Drosophila melanogaster: one gene and its partner. The protein of the gene in region 1 purifies or fractionates together with the protein of each later gene. This does not show direct contact. Each region holds a gene or a part of one and is shown on either strand. Other genes may lie near its edges.

Region 1 (3,948 bases):
GCGCCAGCTGGGATCGAGCTCCGCTGAAAGTCTCGTCGAGATCGTACAGCTCCAGCGGCGGAGCCGAAGGCTCGCTGAAGATGGGCGGAAACGTTGCCAACTGGACGTTGGGCAGCGGAATCTCGAACTGCGGCTTGATGATCTTCAGCGGCTCGTACTTGACATGCAGTTGCTCGTAGGTATCCATGACGTCCTTAAGCAGGCGGTTGCTCAGCCTGCAGAGCCTCATGTCAAACATCTGCTTGAAGTCCGTGGGCATGTCGGTTCCAATCGAATCGATCAGGCAGGCCTTTGGCATATCGGCCAGGAACCCAATATCGGTGAAGTGCTTGTTGTCGCTCAGCTGTGGATTATAATGCAATTAGTTTGCTGCAAACTTTCTGTTGGTAATTAACCCACCTCCACATCATTGAAGTCCAAGTGACTGTAGGTAATCTCATCGCCTCCAAGCAGCTTTATCAAGTACTCAAACATGGCATCGTTAGTCTTGTCCTGCAGATACTTGTCATGCCAAATGTATCCAGATCCCACCGCCAGGATTTTCCCACCTTTCCCGTTTGTAAAGTAGCCGACCAAGGGACGATTGAAGGGATACACCACTGGACCCGTGGTGAGCAGGACATTGGCAGGTTCCGATACATTCAGCGTGGCCCCATAGGGATATTGAAAGTGTATCTTGTACTTCTCGTCACTGAAATCGTAGTACACCTTCTCTATGTCTAGCTTGAGGAGGTGTCGCCACATGGACTCGCAAACAACGCCACCACCAACGATACACTCCTTGGGATGGAAGTTCTTGTAGTAGTGCGGTCGCACCACAGTGTCGCCGTTGATGTAGATCCCGTACTGCTCCAGGAAGAAGTTCACGTTGGTATTGAACTCCGGCTCCCCGCCTTCCCCCAGGAGCACCACCAGACTGCCTCCTTGCACCTCCACGTAGTGCTTCAGCACATCGAATTCATCCTCTGTGAATCGGTCCTGTGGCCCGGCGAGAACAAATATCTTAACCCGAGCAAGTCGCTCCATTCTGAGTTCCGCATCATTTCTGTAAATCCATTTTAAAACATAATTTAATAATAGTTCATTCTGGATTTTTGATTCATTCCTAAGTCTAAAATGTATTACATTTAAAAAAGTTTTGTTTTAAGGAAAACATCCTTTATGAAAGTGGGATATGCAAATATTAAAGATCAATCATTTATTTGAAAACCTGTATGAGCTGATTATTTTGATAGTTGAAAAATATTTGTTTTGTTTTTATAGTAATGTTTGCTTATTGGCCAAAATAATTTCTGGGATACTGACTGTTCCACATTCCAATTGACCTTCAATTTGCGATGCATCATTTTGTAGTTGTCCGATATTTGAAATCGTTCATTTTTTGATGTATCAAAGCAGATTACCGGCTTGCTTGACATTTTTCATGCAGATTCAATAAACTTTTTAATAAAATTTTTTGTTTTTACATTTGGTTGCCCGGCAACGCAGTGGCGCCCTCTTGTGGTTTCGATACCAGTGTTCCGCCGGTGTTTTCCAACACTTAAGTTCGGTTGATTGTTGCACACTGTAGGGTGACCGTTGTACATTAATTTTTTAAATGTGGTATATCGGTTGCTAACAAAAATATATGTTTATTATTATTTTAAGAACTTTATTGTTTAAGCTAGAGTTTATTTCCCAATTATTACGACGAATAACAATAGGACACTTTGTTTGTTTTTATTTGGTCTACTCAAGCATTTGAAAGTATCAATATCATATTTTCTGCAGCGTGTGGTATTTTTTCTTACTTTACCGCGGTCACACTGATCCATAGCTGTGTGAAAAATTACGAAAGAATTTTTGGTGTTCACCACTTAAGACCGACCGAAATTTTCGCAAAACGAACAATGGCATCGATCTGTGGACGCATGGCGCTCCGTGCCGCCGCACGCCAGAATGTTGCCTACACGCCCGTGCGCTTCTGCAAAAGTAAGTGGTGCAAATGCGGAGGGAAGTCCCACGGCCAGCTGCTTTTCGGTCACGTTCGCCGATTTGGCGGAGTTTCTGCCCTGGAATTGCATAATATTGGAGTGCAGGTGGAAGACCAGCATGGCACTGTGCTCCACTAACCTGGAGAGCATCAGATTTGGACCCACAGAAAAGTGTCTATTGAAAGTGCGAGGTTATGTAATAACTATGCGCTGGGAAATGTGCGACTTATGGTCGGAGAGGGGGAGCGGTGACACCACAGTGCGGAGTTAACACCTCGACAGAAGCTGGCCGGGATTACCCCTCCGAAGAGCTGTACTTGTGACGGAGCGTCTGGGTTTGGGGCGTCTGCTGTTTATGTAACCAGTGACCCATTCGCTTATCAATTTATGAGCTAATTCCTAATTGCGTTTCCCACTTCTCCGCCTTGCAGTGATGAACGATCCTTTGGAGCACGCCACTGGTATCGAGAAGCGCGAGCTGCTGCTTAAGGCCGCCGGCAATGATAACCCCTTCGACATGAAGGTCTTCAAGCGGGGCGCCGGCACCAAGGAGAACCCCAACCTTATTCCATCGGCCTTCGATGCTCGCATTGTGGGCTGCATCTGTAAGTAGTCCAACAACACCAGCTGCGGTCAGGATAATGGCAGAGATTGGAGTATTCTATCAGCCGTAAAATTTGCATTCTATTCTGTTTAGGTGCATTTCAATGACGTTTCTGTGCGAAGCAAAATTTAATTCCTTTCATTGTAATATTTATCCAATTGAGTCGCTTTAATTTAATTAAGTTTTGAGCTCTGATTAGCTACACACCGCGTTTAAACGTTTTCATATATTATTTTGAATAATTGCACACACTCCAACTAAGGAAACCTTAATGCCTTTATCCTGACCAAAAATAAAGCCCATCATTCCAGTAGAGTACTTTCTAACAAACCTTTCATTCCAAACCAGGCGAAGAGGATCAGACCTACGTGCAATGGATGTGGCTGCAGAAGGGCAACCAGAAACGTTGTGAGTGCGGCCATTGGTTCAAGCTGGTGGAGAAGGCAGCTGTTTAAAGTTATTATTAATTAATTCAATAAACCAATTAATAACAAAAACACAACAACTACTAAGCTAAAAGTCAACCCACTTAGCTGTCCAAATAAACAAACATCAACCCAAAAAAAAAAAAAAAAACGAAACTGTGAACAGAGAGGAGTGAAAGGGCGGCACAGCTTCCATTTTCAGATCTGCAAACGTGTTTTCGAACGCAGCCGAGGAAAATTGCTTAATTAACACAAAAAGCGAACAATAAAGTCTAAAGAAGAGATTTTGAGTGAAAATCAAAGGATTTATTTTAAAAAAGCTTGTCTAAAGACAGAAGAAAGTTGAATTTCGTTTAAAAATGTTTAAAATCGCAGAACTAATTTAATTTTAATAAGGCAGTAGGCGTCTTAATAAGAAATCAAACATTTTCAAAACCCTTTGATCAGATTCAACTCACTCAAAGTGGGAAATTCTCGTGTGATAACCATAATTTTCTAGATAAACTCCTTTAAAAATGTCGTCCTACATTTCGCGTCTACTTAAGGCTCAGTCCGCCTCCAAACGTCTGATCTCCAATTTAACCCAGCGCGACGGAAAGCTAAGCTCTTTGCTTCGACGACTAGGTTTACAGTGGCAAGGATCAGCCGCTGCTCCTCAACAGCGTCCCATATCCACAACTCAGGTGCAAAAGTCAGGTAAGTAGTGGTTGCAGCTTGCAAAGATCTCCAGTTCAGGTCTCATGCCCGATTAGCGCTAATTGCGGACGATCAACTGGTCACCGGGATTCAGAAGCGCGAAATGCTGCTGGCCAAGCAGGGCTGCGAGGACCCTTGGGGTTTCAGCAAGGTGATCAGGCGCGGATCGGGAAGGGAGAACGACCCCACCGTCGTGCCATCGGCGTTCGATGCACGCCTCGTAGGCTGTCTGTGCCTGGATGACCGCTTG
Region 2 (5,736 bases), on another chromosome or scaffold:
CCACGACCACATCGGCGAAGCCATTCGTTGTCTACACAGTCACCGATGGTAATGAGGATATGGACATATCGAATCGCGGCTTCTACTTGTCGTATTCGCAGAACGCGTGTCCAATTCTGTAAATATGGTATACAATAAAAGACTTGATAATCATAGCATAACAAAAAACCGTGATACATATCTGGAGAAGAGAAATTGGGGATCCTTTCGAGGAATTTGGACGAAGCATCTGGTAAATTTAAACATTAATTAACATACGAAAGTGTAAAAACAATAACCATTTCCGATTTAAACCAATATTCGTTTGATTTCGTGAACTTAGCAATTAGCAAAAATGATCTAATAGGAATTTAAAACAAATTCAAAAAAAATATCTGTAGTATTTTGCGGTTTTGGTGACAAAAGAGTTAGCGGTTTAAAACGGAAATGTCTAAATTTTCCGAACAGAAATTGATATTTGAATTAGATCAGTGACAAGTAGTTGAGTATTTTTATGCTTAGTGCCTTTATAAGGTACGTTGCGCATTTAATAAATATTGCAGTCTTTAATTCTAAACAAACAGATGACTTAGGCGGATGTAAGTCAATAACAATGGCATTATCTAAGCTAATTGTTATGCAGTGCATTAGGACAATACTGCCAGCCGAGTGAGACTGTTGATTTCCGCCTCCAACTCTTTGACCTACAATAAAAAACCAATAAAAATAATGTCGCATGGAATCAAAACTTTATAGCACATTACCTTATTTTCGAAATGTGACTTAACTTTCTTGTCGGCCATCAGTTGGAAGGCTTCGTTATCCAGGCGCATGCGATACCGCTGCAATTCGGTGACCAACTTCTTCAGTTTTTTGGCATTGGCCTTCTGCATTTCGTCTCGTTTTTCCGGCGTCAGATCCAATCCATCGCTCAATTTCAAGCCAAAGGAGCAGAGTGCTCCTGCCGTTGAGAAGTAGCTGAGTTGCTTCGAAATCTTTGAGCTCTCGTCAAACAATTCCAGTTCCACGTCTTCGCAGCGAGATAACACCTTGATCTGCGGCAAATGACGACGAAGCACTCCTTCCGAGTCCGTATTCTGGGCAAACAAACTGAGTTGCGGATGATGGCGCTTGCTAATCTCATTGCGACTCTTAACCTGTCGCACATTATGGCAGATGTTCACTATTTCGTTGACCTCTTCCTCCAACTTTTCATCCTTGTAGTCGGACAGTTTAAGCTCTATATTAAGGGGCACATGCTGCAGTAATTCGGAAGCCACAAAGGGAGCATACGGGGCCATGGCCTGCAGTCCCCAGCTAAGGCAAGCGGTCAGGGTGCCCACATGGATGTAGGCATCAGCACTGCGATTTCCTATCGCAGGTTTGGTTGTTTCCTGTCGATTTCAGCAGCTTTTGTTGATGCTGAGTAACAATTGAATGACAACCAACTTACCAAGTAAGTATCACAGAGATATTGATAGAAGAAGGTCTTCAGGGCTGCTGTGGCCAAGTGGAAATTGTAGTTGCTGTAGCTCTGCGAGCAGACAGACAAGGTCTCCGCGAGGCGTCCGACGATCCAGCGATCCCAAAGGCCCAGATTCACACCTTCAAGAGTCTCAAACTGATGCAGCGAGATTCCCAGTCCCTTGGCTGAGCCGAGGGTAAATCGCATAGCTTGCCATACTTTGTTTAGGAAAAGCTTATTGGTGTGGCAGGCGTTCACATCGAAGCTAATGAAGTGACTCTTGATGTTGTGGCTCATCAGGGTGAAGCGTAGAGCATCGGTGCCGCACTCTTGAATGCCATTGGGGAACATTTGCGTCATTCCAATCGTGGAGGCCTTTAACTCTGAAGGCGTAATAATGCCCGCCTCGCACGATTGCTCTAAGCCAGCCTTCAGGCTCTGCAGATGTAATATATCGTTAAATTTTATTCTTGGCAAGAATGGCCTAACTTACCTCTAAACTGGCGCCCTGAACCACCTGCTGTGGGGCCACGATGTTGCCGATACTCTTGGACATCTTCCGGCCATGAGCATCGCACACAATGCCGTTTAGCAAAATTCTCTGAAAGGGTGCCTCGCCGGTCAGCTTCAGACCCAACATCATCATGCGCGCCACCCAAAAGAAGATAATATCATGGCCAGTCTGCATTATGTCCAAAGGATATCTTTCTTTGTAGCTCTCCTCTGGCCAACCGGCTGTGGAGAAAGGCAGCAGCGATGATGAAAACCAAGTGTCCAGTACATCCGGATCACGTTTCAATGTAAATTCTTCGCTACCAATAAGTCTCATGGCTTTCTGCCTAGCTGTCTTCTCGTCAAGGGCAGCCACCCATTGACTGTTTCCCTGGGAGTCGATGACCTCGTATGCGGGCACCTGATGCCCCCACCACAACTGCCGGGAAATGCACCAGTCGCGGCTATCCTGTAGCCAGCGTTCCCACTCCGTTTCGAAGTTCGGAGGCAGGATTTGCAGACGTCCACTATGAAGTTCAGATAAGGCATCCTTTGCCAAGTCTTTGCACTTAAGAAACCATTGCGGCAATATCATGTACTCTATGACGTCCTTGGAACGCGAGCAGATGGGCAACTGCATGGTATGAGAGCGCACCTGTCGCAGCAAATCCATCTCTTCCAGGCGATTGACGATGAGATCTCGCGCCTCGAAGCGCGGAATACCCTTGTACTCAGAATAGGCATCCACCACAAGACCCGTTTCAGTAAAGACCTGGCGAGGTTCAAGCTTATGGCGAGTGGCCAGCTCGAAATCAAATTTGTCATGGGCTGGTGTGATTTTCACTGCCCCGGTGCCAAACTCCTGGTCCACGGTGATATCGAAAACGAGTGGAATGGTGTCGTCACGGAAAGGATGCTTGAGCTTAACCTGATCAATGTTTCGGTACTTGGCGTAGCGCGGATCCAGCGGATGTACTGCGACAGCTACATCACCCAAAATTGTCTCTGGTCTAGTGGTAGACACCACAATCTCTTCAACCGAACCATCGGGCAGTGCTTCACCATCCACTACGTGATAGGCGAAATCGTACATTCTGCCAAAGAGTACTTTGTGATCGTAGCCTGGAACGGATATCTCTACCGGCTCCGTGATCTCTACACTGTCCACCTCGATATCAGATATCGCGGAACGTAGAGCGGTGCACCAGTTGACAACCGAGTTGCGCCGCTGAATTAGGCCTTCTTCAAAGAGTCGCTCGAAAGCTACGTTGACCGCATGCGCCTGCTGCTCATCCATTGTGAAGTATTCTCGTTGCCAATTCAGTTTACAGCCGAGTTGGCGGAGATCCTGTACGATACCAGCACCCTTTTCCGCCTTCCAGCGCCATACTTCGTCCAGAAAAGCAGAACGTCCCAATTCATGACGGGTTTTCGCCTGAGAAGCGGCAATCGTGCGCTCTACGACCACCTGGGTGGCGATACCCGCGTGATCTGTGCCTGGTACCCAGTCCACCTGGTAGCCAAGCTGTTCGCGCTGGCGGGCAATCACATCCTGCACGGTGGCCATCAGTGCATGGCCCAAATGTAGATTCCCGGTTACATTTGGTGGCGGTAGAAGCATGCGATAGGTCCCCCGCTTGCAACTGCTGGCTGAAGCCTTGGGCAAATTTGCCTGGCGATGCTCCCGCTCCCAGTAAGCATTTTCCACTGGTTGTGGCTGGTATCCTGCTGCCAAGGGAAGCTCATTAGCCGCATCTAAAAGTGGAAAAAAGTGAGTTCTTTAGCCGGCACTGGGGTTTTGAATGAAACTGGAGGTAACGCACCTTTAAGGGTACTGTAGTATAGAGAGTACACCCTTGGCTGGCACAGGTACTTGTGTCTGAGCAGTTTACTGCTACAATTCCCAATTATTTGCATTTTTAATGTTGTGTTATGTTATGTCAAAAAAAATTGTAATCTTATTGGTGATGGTATAAAAACAGCTGAGGAGATAATCGATATACGGCTTATGGGCGCCAATTTCAAACGAGAAACGGTAGAGCTTTCCTCCTCAATTTTTTTTCAAACTTCATTATTTATTTGATTTGTCAAAAGAGAAACATAAAACATCTCAGAGGGTACGTATGTGAATATCAGGATCCAATGTAATTTTTTTTAATTTATAAAAGAGAACAATTTTATTAAGAAACCATAAAGAAAAGTACGATAAAAAAATATATTTTTCAGGCACTGACACTGCATGAGGTGTAATGATCAATGAGCCGGTCTGCCTCCCGATAGCCCGCCTCCACAGCTCCGTGAACGGTGGAAAAGTGATTCCTGCTAGACGCTTCTCCGGCAAAAAGGAGGCCTAAATGACCATCTTCGCCCAACACAGGAGACTCTAGATCCCAGGGGCCCGTATTCCTTTCATCGGCCATAACTCCACGATAACTCCAACTGCCACGGAAATTCGGATTCGAAAACCACGAGCTGCGAACGAAACGCTTTGGCGGCGGAATTTCGAAAGTGAGGAACTTTCGGAAAAGCCAGTACAAGCCCTCAAGGACTTTCTCATCGGACAGGGTCTCCATGTGGCGTCCATGCGGACCATTCACCCAGGCCATCAACATTCGGGGCTGACAAGTGATCATGTGTACACCGGTTATACCCTCCACCCAGAAATATTCCGTCTTTCGCAGCTCTATCAGATCCTCTTCCAGCCAAAAGCAGAAGAAACCCACCCAGCCGTCAGGAAGAGGTTGCTTCTCATACTCCAAATACAGTTTGTTCACAGTGCCCAGGGTGAGGCTGCGAATGGCATTCACCTTGGCTGCGGGCAGCGGCGGGACGAACAGTTTCTCGTGCTGCTCCTGCAGGACTCCCAGGGAAACGGTGCAGATGACGTGGTCCGCCTCGAAGTAATCCCCATCCTGGCAGCGCAGGATTACCTTACGGGGGCACGCCAACTCAATCTTGATGACCTTCATATCAAGTTGAATACGTCCTTCCAGTAGACCCAGCTCTTCTGGCGTATCCGCGCTGACCTTCATCAGCAGCCGCAGGAAGCGCCGGTAACCCTTCGTTCCCCAGTGGAGCAGCTTGTCGCCATCACATTCGTGGTACTCGATGTGTTCCCTAACGGAGACCTCGAAAAGATTGTCCGCACCAATAATAGAGCTTTCATGCTTCGCAAATGTATTCAAGGCCTCACTAGCCACATCCCTATTCACTTGGGGTAGCTCGGACTCGATCTTGCGCCAGAAGGTCTGAGTCAGGTGGGTGCCAAAGGATCCCACAACCGGGTGAGGTCCACTCGGCATGCTCTTCACAGCAATGTCGTGAATCCTGCAGGCCAACTCATGTGGAACCACCTCCTTGTTGGATCTCACCCTCTTTATGGGACTGTAATAGTCGCCTGTCTCGTGCAGGATACCCATATCCTTGACCATGTCGTATACACAATTTTGCTGCTTTCCATGACACCACTGGGCTCCCAAATCGATGACGTTGTCACCAAAATACACGGTGTTGATCCGCCCGCCAATGCGATCCTCCGCCTCCAGGATCTGAACATTCTGGAAATTGTTTTGCAGGAGTCGAGTGGCGGCGGCTATGCCCGAAACTCCTGCTCCGATTATGATTATCCTAGAGGAGGCACGGCATTTTTCCATTTTGAAACGTTGGTAGTTAAGTTCGACAGAAAGAGCAGACGATCAACGAGCTACTGATGAAGTTTGTGGGCTAACTTGGCAAGTGATGGATGCTGCATTTCAATGGCTTCCACTGCGGTTGGAGTACAACTTTTTGCACACTCTGCT

What was found. Proteins that work in one complex are often made in the same cells at the same time.
Region 2: the proteins of COX5B (region 1) and ValRS-m purify together in Drosophila melanogaster (affinity purification with mass spectrometry, with the first as the bait; one large-scale study listed by BioGRID). This does not show direct contact.

The regions. Positions count from the first base shown.
Region 1 is NT_033779.5:6,556,014-6,559,961, forward strand, and holds COX5B (cytochrome c oxidase subunit 5B), read left to right. Parts: upstream 1-1,786; 5' UTR 1,787-1,889; coding exon 1,890-1,971; intron 1,972-2,404; coding exon 2,405-2,578; intron 2,579-2,925; coding exon 2,926-3,032; 3' UTR 3,033-3,295; downstream 3,296-3,948. Other genes in the region: IFT52 (intraflagellar transport 52), read right to left, coding at 1-343, 400-1,045, 1,306-1,418; COX5BL (cytochrome c oxidase subunit 5B-like), read left to right, coding at 3,518-3,698, 3,755-3,948.
Region 2 is NT_037436.4:8,960,774-8,966,509, forward strand, and holds ValRS-m (Valyl-tRNA synthetase, mitochondrial), read right to left. Parts: upstream 3,997-5,736; 5' UTR 3,854-3,996; coding exon 3,760-3,853; intron 3,692-3,759; coding exon 1,938-3,691; intron 1,883-1,937; coding exon 1,433-1,882; intron 1,374-1,432; coding exon 744-1,373; intron 684-743; coding exon 627-683; 3' UTR 501-626; downstream 1-500. Other genes in the region: CG13313 (uncharacterized protein), read left to right, coding at 1-122; CG5653 (uncharacterized protein), read right to left, coding at 4,159-5,589.